2 linked regions of the Saccharomyces cerevisiae S288C genome follow. The gene in region 2 interacts genetically with the main gene of each other region. Each region holds a gene or a part of one and is shown on either strand. Other genes may lie near its edges.

Evidence for each region.
Region 1: mutations in SLM2 (region 2) and RGT2 together harm fitness more than expected from each alone (negative genetic interaction), as found in Saccharomyces cerevisiae (2 studies listed by BioGRID).

What each region holds. Positions count from the first base shown.
Region 1 is NC_001136.10:211,485-220,610, reverse strand, and holds RGT2 (glucose sensor), read right to left. Parts: upstream 7,261-9,126; coding exon 4,969-7,260; downstream 1-4,968. Other genes in the region: phosphoprotein phosphatase 2A catalytic subunit PPH21, read left to right, coding at 1-949; RDI1 (Rdi1p), read left to right, coding at 1,323-1,931; 60S ribosomal protein uL29 RPL35B, read right to left, coding at 2,244-2,603, 3,009-3,011; Arf family GTPase ARF2, read right to left, coding at 3,537-4,082; SCM3 (Scm3p), read left to right, coding at 8,565-9,126. UniProt on the Saccharomyces cerevisiae protein: Low-affinity high glucose sensor that is part of the sensor/receptor-repressor (SSR) glucose-signaling pathway, which detects extracellular glucose and induces expression of glucose transporters that bring glucose into the cell.
Region 2 is NC_001146.8:537,085-545,731, reverse strand, and holds SLM2 (phosphatidylinositol 4,5-bisphosphate-binding protein), read left to right. Parts: upstream 1-3,850; coding exon 3,851-5,821; downstream 5,822-8,647. Other genes in the region: YIP3 (Yip3p), read right to left, coding at 1-361, 441-464; LAP2 (bifunctional aminopeptidase/epoxide hydrolase), read right to left, coding at 754-2,769; YNL046W (uncharacterized protein), read right to left, coding at 2,910-3,428; alpha-1,2-mannosyltransferase ALG11, read right to left, coding at 5,913-7,559; COPII subunit SFB2, read left to right, coding at 7,821-8,647. UniProt on the Saccharomyces cerevisiae protein: Together with SLM1, effector of the TORC2- and calcineurin-signaling pathways. Phosphorylated and activated by TORC2 under favorable growth conditions. Mediates actin polarization via inhibition of calcineurin-dependent transcription.

The sequences.
Region 1 (9,126 bases), on a different chromosome or scaffold from region 2:
CAAATCTTCCAAACCACTAGAACTGAATAACACAAATATAAATCAGCTTGACCAATGGATTGAGCATTTGAGTAAATGCGAGCCACTATCAGAAGACGATGTAGCACGACTATGTAAAATGGCGGTGGACGTGTTGCAGTTCGAGGAGAATGTTAAACCAATTAACGTGCCTGTTACCATTTGTGGTGACGTACACGGTCAATTCCATGACTTGTTAGAACTTTTTAAGATTGGTGGCCCTTGTCCTGACACCAATTACCTTTTCATGGGTGATTACGTGGATAGAGGATATTATTCTGTTGAAACTGTATCTTACCTAGTTGCCATGAAAGTCAGATACCCACATAGAATTACGATACTGAGAGGCAATCACGAGTCTAGGCAGATTACCCAAGTATACGGGTTTTATGATGAATGTTTGAGAAAGTACGGCAGTGCAAACGTGTGGAAAATGTTCACAGATCTTTTCGATTATTTTCCTATAACCGCATTAGTAGATAATAAAATTTTCTGTCTGCATGGAGGACTTTCCCCCATGATAGAAACCATAGATCAGGTGAGAGAGTTGAACAGAATACAGGAAGTGCCTCATGAAGGTCCTATGTGTGACCTTCTATGGTCAGACCCTGACGATAGAGGCGGATGGGGAATCAGTCCCAGAGGTGCAGGCTTCACTTTTGGACAAGATGTCAGTGAGCAATTCAATCACACTAATGATCTATCACTAATAGCAAGAGCTCACCAATTGGTAATGGAAGGCTATGCTTGGTCTCACCAGCAAAATGTTGTCACCATTTTCAGTGCTCCTAATTACTGCTACAGATGTGGTAATCAAGCAGCTATCATGGAAGTGGACGAGAATCATAATAGACAATTCTTACAGTACGACCCATCCGTAAGACCAGGTGAACCTAGCGTCAGCAGAAAGACGCCAGATTACTTTTTATGAGTATGTATACATATATGCATCTATATAGATATATATTCACTTTTCTCCTTTACCATTATCATAGTTAATTACACATTTAGCCAAAAATAAACTGCAAATTGCCTTGCAAATTTTCTTCTTTTATTATTCTTCAGATATATCAATCAATACGAGGCTTTTTTTCCTCCCCAACGCTTTAATCATTCTGATCATTACTCCGGGTGAAACGGTTCTCTAACGCGATCGTTTAAATTTCGCGATAGATCAGGGAAACGTTATAAAGATTGAGTGGAAAGAACTTCCATTCTTCAGGCTGCTTGTATTACTTTGATTCTTTTTCTAGCCACACGAATAACTCGAGTATTGAGCTTTTTTATTAGAGAAAAACTGAATAATGGCCGAAGAAAGTACCGACTTTAGTCAATTCGAAGAGGAGAGAAACAACGATCAGTATAAAGTTTCAGCCAAAAAAACTGTTGACGAATACAAAAATCTGGATGCTGAAGACGAATCCTTGGCGAAATGGAAAGAGTCTTTGGGTCTAAGTTCAGACGTCTTGCCATTGGAATTTCCCGGTGACAAAAGGAAGGTGGTTGTTCAAAAAATTCAATTACTAGTCAATACAGAACCAAATCCTATCACATTTGATCTTACCAACGAAAAGACAATCAAAGAACTGGCATCTAAAAGATACAAAATTAAAGAAAATTCTATTTATAAGTTGAAGATTGTGTTCAAAGTTCAACATGAAATTATCACAGGGTTGCGATATGTCCAGTATATCAAAAAAGCGGGTATTGCCGTTGACAAGATAGACGATCATTTGGGATCGTATGCTCCTAATACCAAGACCAAACCATTTTATGAGGTGGAACTACCGGAAAGTGAAGCACCTAGTGGGTTTTTAGCAAGAGGTAACTACAGTGCCGTATCAAAATTCATTGATGATGATAAAACTAACCACTTGACTTTAAATTGGGGGGTCGAAATTGTCAAAAAATAATAAGTTCTTGAAATGCACAATGTAGATATGGCCTGTATAAACAAGAGCATACCTTTATCTACATATGGATTAATACGACTTTCCTGTTCTACTACACTTTTTTTTTCTTAATTTCAAATTGAAGTATAGGGGTAGGGCTCCTGACTGATTATGACGTCGGATCCTATGACAAAGATGGCAAATAAAAATTTAATGTAGTATATTGATTTAGCTAGTAGATCACTAATAAAATAAATTGCCGTTTGGTGTTCTTAAAAAATACAAATTAAACTATATCCAAAAATCAAATATTAAAATGATAATCTAACGAAATTAAGCCTTGATAGCGTACTTTCTTTGTGGGAAAGCGATTTGCTTCTTTCTTTGCTTTTCGGTAACTTGGGAAGCTTCGAATTTGGTCAAAGCTCTTCTCAAAGCTCTGGTCTTCTTGGCTCTCAAGTCCTTTGGTTGGTACTTCTTACCCTTGTATAATTGTCTAACAGCTTCTCTTTGTTGTTCGTTGATGACGGTCAAGACACAGGCGATACTCTTTCTGACGGTCTTGATCTTTGGCAAAGATGGTCTGGACAACTTTTGGACCTTCAATTCAGCCAACTCCTTTTTCAAGTCAACCAATTGAGAAGCTAATTGTTCCTTGGATTTGGTTCTTAGTTCGTAAGCTTTAACGCCGGCCTATTGATAAGAAAATGGGAACAAAAAATCATAACTGTTAGTAAAAGTTCCTGTTTTTATGAGCCAGTTTCAAATTTTTAGATTCTCGTATACACTAATACGCTCTGTGCAATGCATTATCCAAAAAAAATAGTTCACATGTGGTTCCAGGTTTCTGAAGACCAATATTATAATTTCGAAAACTTCCAAACAATTTTAACAAGTGCCATAAACTTATAAATTTCTGTTACCAAGTTGTAGCTGGTGAGATCTCTCTGATATTTGCCTGCAAGGTTTGCAGTAATACTGTAGCTGTAAATTTTCTTCAGACCACTTGATTATTTATCCTGCAGACATTAAAGGAGACTTTTTTCTTCCATAGCACATTATATCACGTCCGTTTCATGTATATTCATCTCTACATACCATTTTTAGTCCTATTTGGTTCTTTATCGTGTTCTCACTGTACTACCAAACCCCCAAAAAAGAGATGTGAGTAGATTTTCAATATATCCATTTCTCATATGATGACGATTGCAGGCCTCTATTTACCCTCATCTTCAGTAAAATTTCACAATCGACATGAAAAAAAATTCAAATGTTTGGGTGCTGAATCCATGGTGGAAAATTCGTAGCATATGCCAGACTTTGTGTTGGACTCGCTGCCGTCAGGCAAACCACAGATGCAATATTATAGAATAAAATGTACGGGTTCAAAGCAGGGCCTCTTTTCATTTTTTCATATAGTAGTGGTATAATTCTGAATGTCATCATGGCGCCCGTTACAAGCCGTTGCAATATTAAAGAGCTAGTAAGTTTATTTTCAGTGCACCATCATTATCCTATCTTATACAACTATACAGTGGTTTATATCTTCAACAATCATAAAAATAAAACAATCTAGAAACAAAACACACAAGGTCCGCATGACTAAACGTTCTATACAGATTTAGATTAGGATTGATTCTTCAAGTTGTTGCTTAACCACTCCAGACCTTCGTACAGACCTTCACCCGAGGTTGCACAAGTAGACTGGATAAACCATGGACGGTTTCTAATAGAATGTAAACCTAATTTTTCGGTGATTTCAGCAGCAGACATGGCTTCTGGCAAATCTTGTTTGTTAGCGAAGACTAACCAGACAGCATTTCTCAATTCATCTTCATTCAGCATTCTCTGCATGACTTCTCTGGCTTCACCAATACGCGATCTATCGTTGGAATCGATGACAAAAATAACACCTTCGGTGTTTCTGTAGTAGTGTCTCCATAAAGATCTAATCCTGTCTTGTCCACCGACGTCCCAGACAGTGAAGGAAATGTTCTTATATTGGACAGTCTCAACGTTGAAACCAATGGTTGGAATGGTAGTGATAACTTCGCCCAACTTCAACTTGTACAAAACGGTGGTCTTACCGGCACCATCTAGACCAACCATAAGTATACGCATCTCTTTGTTGCCAAAAAGATTGCTGAATAACTTAGAAGCGTATAGACCCATCTTTTCTCTATGAAATCTTAATTCCTTTTTTTTTTATCTCTATTGGTTGGCTGATGTTAGTAATTACTACTTAAAGAAAAAAAGAGAGATATTGAGCACAGAGACGCTAACAAGAAGAACTTCTGTTGACTTTGTATGTCAACTCCTTATCTTCGTTCGAAAAACATCAGAGCCGTACTGCTCGACTCCCCACAATTAGGATAACTAGGCCCTATTAGATAATCAATACGGCTTCCTGATCAAATAAAGGGGCGCCTTTAGGAACTCATCCCACCGTTCAGTGGAGAGAGTCCTTCCTTCTGGGTATGATATAACACGTAGTACCAGATAGTGTCGTGCGTCTATCCCTCCTAATGAAACTCGTTACATACAAAGTGTCTGCCTTATCTTTAGCCTATTGCAACTTGAGTCTGCGTAGAAAGTTTCCGAAGAATTAAACTACTATTAACAAAGGGAATGGAAAGAGCTAAAACAGTTCAACCGATAACAGGTGACGAGGTAACAATAATCGCACACGTCCGATCTCCTGTAAGGGTATATGTGTACTATTCAAAAGGAGTACGTGGAGGTGCAAGATCGAACAACAACAACCCGCATCTGGAACCCGGTGATTTAGGAAACCATACATCGTTAACGTACCACATGATGTAGATTATCCGGGTAATAGTTATGATCAGTTGACCCATTTTGTATTCCACTTGACACCGAATTAACGAGGAAAAATCAAACTCATGGGCTACTTGTGAGTAATGTTATGTGTTATCTATAATTCTTTTCTATGTCTATCATGTTGGAATGTTAAAAGAAACTCAAGAGTGCGTGTATAAGAATAATTTATATAAAACGGTTTATAAGACCTCGAACGATCGTAAGATGCTATTGGTTTTTATTGGGGGGAAGTGTATTGGCTGTGCTTACTAGCGAGGTCACTCGTCCAATTAGAGGACGTTCTTGCATTGCTATTGTGTGATGGAGAGAACGATGTGTCGTTGCTTGTAGTAGATGAGCTATTGATTAGTTGAGCCATATATGTATTGACGCTGTTAGCTCCATTTCGTTCAGTGTTGTTATTGTAATAAGAAGAGTCATTTTCCTCATAGAACTCATCAGTAGAGTCAGAAATGATAGAAGGAGGACCTCTATTGTATGTATTCAGACCCAAACCATTCCCCAAGTCGACGTAATTTACTGGCGGATGTTCCACGGGTTTAAACTCTGTAGATGTTAGGGGGGCAGTATCGATGATGTTTACTAACGAGCCACTTCCTTTATCCGCCGCAATCATATGATCATTGGACTGTATTTGGTTCTCCAAGAATCCATCCACATCGATTATGTTGTGGCTGTCATCCTGTACAATTGGACTGTTGTTGTTGTCCAACTTTCCAGCGTTCTTGATATTAGTTTTCATCTCTATTTGTTGTGAAATGGGAAAGGCTAAGCACCTTTTCCTTATTTTTTTGTTCCATTTGCTAGAAATGACGCTATTTGGGGCCTTTCTAAATAACTCGTCAATCTCTTCCAAAGTCAATCCCCTCGTTTCATAAACAGCGAAATAAACAACGATAACGGCCACGACATTTAAGCCGCCCCAAATGAAGAATATTTTGGGCCCCATTGAAGAAGTGTGTGATCCGACATCAACAATGTAAGGTGTAATCAGGGCACAGGTGAAATTAACTAGCCAATTTGCGGCAGCGCATATGGCGGTACATTTCGATCTGACACCAAGTGGGTACAGTTCAGCAGATACCACCCACACGACACCACCCCATGTCGCCGAAAATGCAGCAATGAAAAGGCATATAAAAGCAATCATAATTTTACTAGCAACAACAGTTTTTCCCTCGGAAACACCAACGATGGCAATGACTAAATTTGCTATTGCCATTATGACACCTCCAGCAAGAAGGACTGGTCTTCTACCAATTCGATCCACTAAATACATACCCGGTATACTGAAGGCGACGTTGACGGCATAGCTGATAAAAGAAACCAAGTAAGAGTTGTCCACCCCTGTGTTGTTGAAAAAATTAACTCCATAGTAGAATATAAAATTGATACCAGATGCCTGTTGAAAAGCTTGTATGGCGATACCAGTAAATATTCGTAAAATCTGTTTGGGTCTATTTTCACTTGTTTTGAAACAATCTAAAAGTGTTGACGGGCCGAACGATGCTTCATAATCGTAAGTGGCTTTTATTTCAACAAGCTCCTCTAAGAGTCTTGGATCTTCGATCGGGAGGCCTCTTAAAAAGGATAACGATTTTGCAGCTTTATTGAGTTCATCCTTCAAGACGTAATATCTTGGACTCTCTGGAAGGAATATCATGCCCACAGCTAAAATACTTGACCAAACGTACTGCAAACCAATTGGTATTCTATATGAAGACGGGCCATTTTTGGAATGAGTTCCTTGCGATACTGCACTGGACACGAGTAACCCAATAGTGATAGCCCACTGATAACTGGAAATGATGGCACCTCTAAGGTTCTTCTGCGCAGCTTCAGCTTGATAAAGAGGAACCACAGCAGAGATTATCCCGATCCCGATACCTGAGATCACTCTTCCGACGATTAATAGCACCAAGCCACCGGATGCCACCTGTAATGAGTTTCCGATGGAAAAGATAACAGCGGTACTAAACATAATTGTTGGCTTCCTACCATATGAATCTGAAATATAGGGAGCGATTAACGCACCGAAAAATGTTCCTAGGGAGAGGAATGATACGAGTATGGCTATTTGGCTAGTGGTGAAATATGAATGGTTCGGAGCAATGTAGGTTTTAACATACGGCATATCCGTGATACTGTTTATAAGTCCAGTGTCATACCCAAACAAGAAGCCCCCCACGGCAACAAATATGCCTACCAAGACAGACATCACATTCGATCGCAGCGGCAGCGGTTGCGATAGTAGAATGGACGTGGTTTCTATAGCTCCATCTCCCGCCGGCTCATTATTTGTGTAGGAAATTTGGTATGCGTTAGGATCGTCGCACATCACTATGGACTTTGCTTCCGTGTCATTCGTAGATTCTGTGTATGCATTGCGGTGTGGCATGTTGTTATGATTTATCGTACATTCTGCACCCTGGTGGTGGCCGAAGTCATTTCCAGGATTCAGATGACTATTTTCTTCCCTCTGTCGTAGGCAGTTTTGGCTATCGTTCATACAAGCAATATTCGAGATATTTCCATATATATATAGTGGTTTCTGTGCAACTTGATGGTTTAGACTATTGATACTATTCCTGATCTGCTCTTTAATTTCACAAGCGAATGCCTTAGCGTCAACTAAAAAAAATGAATACTGGATGTTATATGAAATTAGGCAAAGGTTTATTGTTCGATGCTCTCCACTTATGAAATAGATACGCTGAAGAGCTTATGTCTGTTCCATGTATATGTTCTACTTTCGAGGTGGAGGAAGAAGCAAAGGGGAAGCGTGTACGGCAGGTAGTCACCGTTGAGTCGGTAATGAGATAATAGCCAAGCGCGGAATTAGATTTTTTTTAATAATTTTTGCCCATTGCGGTAAGTATCACACTTTTTCACATATGAGCCGATTAAATTCTTTGTTCAATTTATCTCGGGGAGGAAAACTCAGATAAGAAATGACGGAGTTAGATTGAAAAAATCGGAAATCATTTTGTTAGGCATGCGGTAGAATTGGATAGGGTAGCGGCGACATCTCTATGCCGATGGACGATGCAGGAACAGGGAACCCTTTTCTTGCAAGGAAAAAGGCGCTAGTATCACAATTGCTACTTTTCATTAAAAGGTTATCTGTGCCATGTATATACCCTGCATATCTGAAATAAAACAGATTTTTTTTTTGTGAATTGGGTTTGACTTACTTTGTTGTAAGGGCTTCAGCTTGTTAGTTAATTTTAAGGAATTATTAAAAGAAAAAATCCTGCTTATCATTTTTTTTTTATATTTTGTTGTTGGTTTCAGGAAAAAGGGAGCTTTGCAAAAAAAAATAAAAAAAAATTGACAGGATGATCTATAAATATATTAATTGACCTATATAATGGTTTACACTGTATGGTTTCTAATCTGTACAAAAAAAAAAAAAAAAACCCTACAGAAATATGTTAAACAGCTAATAAACGAAATCCAATAAGAAGAAAATGTACCTCAGTCCAAGAATGGGCTATTATTATTTTAAGTTTCGAAAGTTTTTCCACTAAAATCAGAACTAAATAATGGAATGGCCGTCTGCCGGATCAGCATAAAAACATCTTCACAAGTTTCATACTTTTTTTGTCTGAAGCTGTGAAGCTTTACTTTAAGTAACTGTCATCTTTTCCTATTGTAACGTATTTTATATAATGCGCAGGCGGAAGGAGAAAGTTTCAAGGGCGCCATGAAAAAAGCTTCAGTACCGCGATTTTTCAGCTAATGGATCAGATGATATATAAACAAAAAGTGGGATACAGCATATCGACGCCTCCACTACAAATTAACAGAAGGATGAAAACCAATAAGAAAATTTCTAAAAGAAGAAGCCTGAAAAATCTCCATGGTGCCTTAAAAGGACTATTGAAAGAGTCCGGCAAGAAGAGTGAGTCCAAAATACGAAAACATAGCGATTGCAATCCTGTTCATCGAGTATATCCGCCAAATATCGAAAAACGGAAGACCAAAAAGGACGATGGAATTTCACGGCCAATTGCTGAAAGAAATGGTCATGTGTATATAATGTCCAAGGAAAACCACATCATCCCTAAACTAACCGATGATGAAGTCATGGAGCGCCACAAACTAGCAGACGAAAACATGAGAAAAGTGTGGTCCAACATCATAAGCAAATACGAGTCTATTGAAGAACAAGGAGACCTCGTAGACCTGAAAACTGGTGAAATAGTTGAAGATAATGGGCATATCAAGACGCTGACGGCCAACAACAGCACGAAAGATAAAAGAACAAAATACACAAGCGTGCTCAGAGACATTATCGACATCAGCGACGAGGAAGATGGTGATAAAAATGATGAATATACTCTTTGGGCTAACGATAGCGAGGCAAGCGATT
Region 2 (8,647 bases):
CCAGTCCGGTGTATAGTTGGTTGGTCTTGAAAGAACCAAATGGAGTTACGAGCTCCTCACCCTTTAGTTTGTTTATACCAACAATACCAGCTACGACTAGAACAATAACAAAGAGTAGCAACAAGTTTGTTAATAATGTGTAAATGCTCAAACAACCAATAATCAAACCATAGTTACTGGAAAAGTACTTCAGGTTATACGCCACTCTGGATTGAACTTCCCCAAAGTTTTGAGGTTTGGAAATTTTCTTGAAATTGAAAAATTCTTGCGGGGTGCGAAGGGTTGCTAATTTAGATTGCAAGGATTGGAACTCGCTCTTAATATTTTCCATGGAGAAGTTTTGAGTGAAACGTGAAACTTGCTATAGAAATATAGAAAAAAGGTTAACGCGTTAGTATAGTTTTTCAATGATGCAAATGTGTTTACAATTTAGAACTTACGGCTAAAGCTCCTAACTGATTCATTATTGGAGTATTTGATGTTATTTTATGCGTATTTGACGGCTGATAGTTCCAAACTCAGTGTTCAAAGCCCTGCAATATTGAATTCAATCTGAATTCTTTCGATTTGTATTTATATTCGTTGTTATTATTTATTTTTTCTTTTTGCCTCGATTGCATGTGACAAAAGTGCAAAATTCGTATCGCACGACACAGAACTCCGCCACTAATTAGAACCAGAGAAGTAGCAATGAAGGCTCATTAGTAGGTTATATTTAATTGTTTACGTATTCATGTTACGACACGTCCCTTTTCAAAGACCTAAATCTTGTTTCACAAGAGCTTTACAGATTGGATGATACGTGTCCTTGAATTTGTCGAAAGTTGCAAGTGCCAATCGACGGTCTACAGAGTTTAATAGTCTGTAACCGGGACGGACAAACTTCATTCTACCTACAGTTCCCAACCAATCGGCCAAATGCTTATATTCTTCTTGCAGCTTGGCAAAGATCTGAAATTTGAACATCTTGAAAACAACTTCCGCGTTCTGTGATTTAACAATGTTATCTTGATAGATATCTAACAGTGCCCTAGATGCCACGGGAAACTTGGCCCAGTCAAAATCTTTTGGTTTCTTGTTGGAATGGCCATTTTGTGTCAAAGTTTCCAAGAACAAAACCAATTGATTTGAATTAAAATCCTTAATGTCAATAGCGTTAAATTCAGACCGGAAATCCTCTGTGGTTTTCAAATGTTGAGCCATTTCGACCCACTTGTCAGCCAATTGATAAACATTATCAGCCAAAGCCGTAATAAAATGAGGCCTTGGTGGCATACCTGGTTTATACAGCCAAGTTTCCCAGTCAACGGAATCCAAAATTTCTTTCTTTTCGGGATAGAACTCATACAAAGTATCCAAAAACTGGAAAGTATCCAATGATTTTTTGGCAAACTTCTTGAAATAGTGTCTAATAAATGGATCAAATTCAGCCTTACCACCCAAAATAGTTTCCAAGTGAAATAGTAAGTTGAACCCCTTTTCGTACGGAACAGTGGAAAAGGCATCGTCAGGGTCAGTGTTATCGTTCAAGTTTTGTACCAAAGTGGAAAATCTTTCAGGATCTTTCATAGAATCAATAGAATTCTGCAAATCGCTCCAACCAATCAGAGCACTGAAATGTCTAGTTGGTTCGCCATGAATGGCACCAATAATTCTTCTTTCTAAGTAAACGGTCCAACCTTCATTCAACCAAAAATGATTCCACGAACAATTGGTCACTAAGTTACCAGACCATGAGTGAGCAAGTTCATGGGCGATGACATCAATGTTGGATCTGTCATGTGCAATCAAGGTGGGCGTAGCAAAAGTCATATTCGGAGACTCCATACCGCCGTAAGGGTACGAATCGACGTTAACTAAGATATCATAAGTGCCCCACTCGTATTCAAAGATAATTTTCTCTGCAGTTTGAATGAATTTCTCTACATCGTTTTCAAATTCCCATTGACAATCTTTCAAACGAAATGGTTCAGTGTAAACTGTGGAACGAGGTCCAATTGGAGCGCTTGACAAATCACCGGAAGCAATACCGATCAGGTAGGCTGGGATAGGGACTTTCTGTTCAAATCTGTAAATATTAGTATCCTTGCTTGTATCTTCAATCCTGATGCCTGAAAAAACCACTGGTAGTGGGGACTCGATAGATGCAGTGAAAGTAGACTTCACAGAGGGAGTATCAAAGCAGGGGAACAAAGACCTCGCATGAATAGCTTCCAACTGTGAAAACACGTACGGTTTACCGCCCTTGGTTTGCTTGCTGTTCAACCATTGCAAAGCGGTGCACTTGTCAGTCGTACGAAATTGAATATTCAAGGTAAAGTTATCGTTGCAAGAAGCGTTATTGATGACTAACCTGGAGCCCAATGGCTCCTTTCTTTGCTCAATTTGAAAATCTGCCTTGGAACCATCAATATGAACCTCCTGGACATCCAAATAGGATGTATCCAGATGTAATTCATCCGATTTATTTTTACCTTCGTGCAGTTTTTTCAATTGGAATGTAACGCTCCCTGAAATGGCTGACTTTTCGAAGGAAACAGACAGGTTTAAATCGGTGTGAAGAACTGCGAAGTCCTTATAATTTGATAAAGTAGACTGATCGTATTCGGGGGAGCGGGAAGGTCTTCTCTGCTCAATTGAAAGAGGCAACATTTTATGAGGGGTGGAAATGTGTATGTTTCTTGAGATTACAGTAAGTAAACCTCGAAATCGAAGCGTGGGCAGGTAAATAGAGCTGGAATGACGAATGACAAATGGAAGCAAGAACATCAATTAGAACACCAAGATAACCTAATACATAAAGCAAACTATACTAAAGTGCGTTTATATAAGTCAAACGAAAAAGTGGAAGAAAAAAAGTGACATGATTTTCCATACGCAATGCCCCCGGAAACTGAAGACGCATTGTGTCAAAAGATGAATGAAAGCCACGACGAAACAGCCGAAAATGGTGACAGGAGAGGGCCAACGAGCCCCGTGAGAAGACCTGTGTAGGGCGTACCCATGAAGGAGGCCCCTATGATTTTCCATTTGGAAACACTCAGGATGTTTTCTGATGACTGGATGATGATGTCCTTGAGGACCAGGAGACAGCCAAAAAATACAATTGAGATCGCGAGCACAACAACCAAAGGCCTTGTGTTGATGTCATAGCGAACATACCTTTCATTGATATGATGCGTAGATGGCGTTACTGACGGTGAGCTGTTGTACATAGAGTTTTTGACTCTCACGCTTTGATTATCCCTAAAATCACCCGGAATTCTGTACTGGGATTCAACCGGCACTGCCTGCTTCTGTACCCTTCTTTTATGCAGCAGCTTCCGCAGTTGGTTAGTGGTTCCGCATTTCTGTGATTTGCTTCCATCTACAGTTGAAGTTTTCCTCTTAAAGAATTGCCCAATTGACCTCTTTGATACGTGCTCCATTAATATCTTGCGCCGAAATTGTCACACTATGCTCACGTATGATTAGTGTATTTATATATGAATAATTCAAATGGCAGGCAGTTTCTTGTTCGAGCCAGCATTGGCGAAAAAAATGCCAAAAGTAGAAGTAAATACGGTAGACACTCCAGCAAGATAAAGCTGCAATATATAACACATCACGGCGATGCTTGTATATTTAGGAGCTCTTACGTCCACCAATGCTAATATATCCTCCTAATGATGGCGCTGATACTGGTAAAAACTCATAATGGTAGTAGTCATTAGCCAATACCTGCCTCTTTTTTCCGGGTCATGCCGCATTCTTTAATCAAAAGGCGATGCAACCTACTACATGAGAAGATGACCGCGCAAGCAAAGGTTTAGGAGAGCGTTATACGCTTTACCCAGCCGTCCATTGCACCATGTCTTACCAACGGAACAGTGCAAGAGCCTCTCTTGACCTCAGAAGTCAATATCAACAACTGGAAGGCAGAATGAGGTCAGAACATTTTAATCCCGCCTATCAACAGCAGCAACAAAAAGGCCAGAACATACCCCTGTCACTACCCTCGTCGCTTGCGCAACGCAATCCTATACCTTACCCTATCGACGCTGTGACTTCCGATCCCACTATCCCGGCTCAGTTGAACGTATATGATCACGATCGGCAAAATTCGATAGTCGATGCTGCGGCTGGCACCAATACGACGCACTCTTTGAACTCTAATAATATTCCATCATCACAAAATAATAATATTAATAATAACAATATCAATAATGTTGGTTCCTTCACTGACCCTTCCATGCTAACGCTGCCAAAAATGTCTTTACATAGCCACCAGAAGCAGTATGATTCTAACCAAAACGATCCTAGGTCCCCTCTGGCGATACTGATACCGACTTCTGCGCAGCCCACTGATGTCTTGTCTGCTAGGTTTTCTGCCTGGAGAAATGTTATTCGTGCCATCTTGGTATATCTCTCTGAGACCGCCTCAATACAGGACGAAATAGTTAGACAGCAACTGAGGTTGTCCCATGCTGTGCAGTTCCCCTTTTTCAGCATTGAAAACCAATATCAACCGGTCTCTAATGAAGACAAGTCCATGCAGAAATTTTTTCTGCCCTTAGGAAGTGGATCCGTTCAAGATTTGCCCACGATGCTGACCAAGTATCATGATAATCTGGCCTCTTTGGCATCGAAAAGTTCCAAGGAGTTGACCAGTGAAATTATACCCAGGCTAGAGGATTTGAGAAGAGATTTACTAGTCAAGATTAAAGAAATTAAGGCTTTGCAATCTGATTTTAAAAATTCCTGTAACAAAGAGCTTCAGCAAACTAAACACTTGATGAAGCTTTTTAATGAATCATTAAAAGAATGTAAATTAGGTACACCAAAGAGTGACCCATTTTTGATAAAATTGCAATTGGAAAAGCAAATCAAAAGACAGTTGGTGGAAGAAAATTATTTGCACGAGGCATTCGATAACTTGCAGAATTCAGGGGCCCAGTTAGAAAGTGTTATTGTAATGGAAATACAGAACGGATTGACCAGCTACGCTAGAATTCTTGGCAAAGAAGCCCAAGTTGTATTTGACTCAGTTATCTCTAAATTAGATTCCACGATACTGAACAAAAACACGAATCTTGAATGGGATAGTTTCATTCTAAGGAATATTTCCAATTTTGTGCCTCCAAATTTACCCATGAGGAGGTTTAAAGAGATCTCGTATAGCAATCAAAACGATCCTTTTACTTTTGAAGTTAAATCTGGGTTTCTGGAGAAAAGATCAAAATTTTTAAAGTCATACTCACGTGGGTTTTATGTCCTCACTCCAAGCTTTTTACATGAATTTAAGACACCAGATAAGCATAAATTTTCCACACCGTTAATGTCAATACCATTAGTGGAATGTACTGTCACTGAGCATTCCAAAAAGACGAAATCCAACTCAGAGCAGGGCAAGAACAAGTTTATATTGCGTACGAATTCTAACGGACTAATACATAGGGGTCACAACTGGGTATTCAAAGTAGACTCTTATGACGATATGATAGAATGGTTTGGAAATATCAAAGCCTTATCAAGTTTGCCCAACTATGACGACAAATGCAAATATGTGAGTAAAGTTGCCAAACTGTCTAAAGAAAAAGCCAAGAGTAATGAAAACACCACGGAGAGCGTGACCCCCCAGGTAACTAATGAGCAACATACGAGATACGATGATGTGAGTAGTAGCAATTTTCCCTTGAATTCCATTCCAAAATTAGACAATTTGACAATCACTAACACCACGTCATCGATACCGGAAACGAATGATTCACAAATTCAGAATAGGGTTCCTGAATTTTACATTGAAAATGTAGATTCCCCTAGAAAAAGCAATCAGCTGTGACAAGTAAGTTAATTATATAGTAATGCTCTAGTTTGTATGTAATATTATGTATAAGTTTTCTCATAAACAAGGCTTCTATTTTCAAAAAACATCAGCCCCTTTCCTCCTCTTCTAATAATTTACAAATAGGATTCAGTACAAAGTTTTCCCAATCTTTATCAAACTTCAAATCAGAGAATTTATACAATGAATACTGCTGGTTTCTTGCGCCCATCACCCTTAGGCAGTCATAGTCCAGTTTCGTAATTTGTAAGAAAAGGTCGGACAAATTAGGGTATCTCAGAGGATCTTTGGTTGTGTTATAATCAGGATCACTCGGCTCTTTAAAGAAAAATCCAGTAGTTTCACCATCATCTTCGAGTTTTGCAAAATATTTCTTTTGTAACTCCCATTGTGGTGGAGCTTTTCCGATATTCCCGTTGGCATCCCATGGAGTAACTATATCTAACAATGGGCCCGCCGAGGCATGAACTATGGGGATCAAACCGGAAGCCATATACTCTACAACTGCAATTCCAAAGTGCTCATTCCACATGGCATTAACACCGAAAGTAGATTTGTTTAGTAATATTTCAATCTTATCGAAGGGCAGATTTTTTTCGAATGATATCAAATGTTTAGGAATTTTTAATACATTTTCTGACCAGTCTTGTAAACTTTTAACATAATTTTCATCTTGCTTGGATCTAGTGGACCCCGCCATTATCAATTTAATTGGCGATACAGAATCCGGTAAATTTTTCAAGAAAGTTGCAAAGGACTCAATGATTAACTTATGACGTTTCTCAGGACGAAATTGTGCCAACACAATTGCTTGATTTAATCTCTCACCCTTTGCAGTACCAAACTTTTGCTTCCAATCTACTAATTTCTCAGTAGAGCATGGAGGATATATAATTTTACACGTATTGGATTGCCAAATTTGCTTTATGTGGTTATTTGTCCATGTTGAGTTTGTGATTACAATATCAATTTTAGAACCAATGGATTGATAAATTAACATAAAAACTTTCCAGTATAATATTTTACCGTAAACTTTGATACCCTTCTTGGGCATTTTGAACAGCTTATTTAACATGTCTTTTGACATTATCGGATAATGCGTATATGTGACGATAGGAATTCTCCTCAAAAACCTAGCAATAATAGGATAGCTGAAAGGGTACCCCATTGTATCAATCCATATATCAGGTGGACACTGAATAATGGATTCAAATGCGAGAATCATTGATCCAATTGCTTGTCCAATCAACGTGAAATGCTTCCATGTTGAAGAATCCACCAAGTATCTTAGCTTCAATGAAATGAAAAATATTCTATCCGAATCCAAGTCGTAATCGAACTTCGCTTTCACATTATTTAGAATATTCTCCGGAGTAACATTCTCTCCATTCACAAAATCCCCTGAATAAATGACAATAACGTTCTTAGCATCTTTTCTCAAAGTGATATCTACAGCTTTCCAGAGCACTTTTTCCCCACCACCACCAGCATTACAATACGGATGAAAAAAACCAAAAACTTTCACATTCTTCTCACCACAGGAGGCAACTGCTCTGTTCAGTAATGAAGATTTTTTGGAGAACGGATTCAAGCTGGAATACACCCATTGACGGAAGATCCACGTGAGAACCTTAATTAGTCCATACACTAGTACTAAAGATGATACAACATATTTTTTGAACCCAAAATGAGACTTAACCTCTTCAAAATTGTAGTTTGTCCAAGCACTGCCCATTTTCGCCTGCAATCACCTGAACATGTTGGTCACACTTGGATACTAACATCTATCTTCACTTCACTTACCTCTCAATCTTATTATTTATTGAACTTTTCACTTTTTGTTTAGCTTACCCGAAGGACATAGATGTAGCGATGACAACGATGAATGATACGTCAGTTAAAAGGGTCTTCGTCGAACTCTTCATCTAACCCTTCATTTGCAGTGTGCTTGGTTGATGAACCTTCTTCCATTAATGATCGACAGCTGCAGTGAATAATGTCTCATCATAAGAAGAGGGTGTACCCTCAAGCTCAGGTGCCATACATTGCAAGTATGCCAATAGTTGCAGAGCAACAGCAGTCTCAACAACAAATCGACCAAACAGCTTATGCAATGGGCAACCTACAATTGAACAATAGGGCTAACTCATTTACACAGCTAGCTCAAAATCAACAGTTTCCTGGTTCTGGGAAAGTGGTCAATCAACTATACCCTGTGGATTTGTTTACAGAATTACCTCCGCCAATCCGTGACCTGTCTTTACCACCTCTTCCAATCACCATTTCTCAGGATAACATTGTGACTCCATCCGAATATTCAAATGTTCCATACCAGTACGTCAGATCTACTTTGAAAGCGGTGCCAAAAACAAACTCTCTGCTGAAGAAAACGAAGTTACCATTTGCCATTGTTATTAGACCATATTTGCATTTGCAAGATTCAGACAACCAAGTACCGCTAAATACTGACGGAGTCATTGTCCGCTGTCGCCGTTGTCGTTCATATATGAACCCTTTTGTCGTTTTCATTAACCAAGGGAGAAAATGGCAATGTAATATATGCCGTTTCAAAAATGATGTCCCATTTGGGTTTGATCAGAACTTACAAGGCGCTCCAATCAACAGATATGAAAGAAACGAAATTAAAAACTCTGTCGTGGATTACTTGGCTCCCGTAGAATATTCTGTTAGGGAACCCCCACCATCTGTTTATGTATTTCTTTTAGATGTTTCTCAAAACGCTGTCAAAAATGGTTTATTGGCTACTTCTGCCAGAACCATTTTAGAAAACATAGAATTTCTACCAAATCATGATGGAAGGAC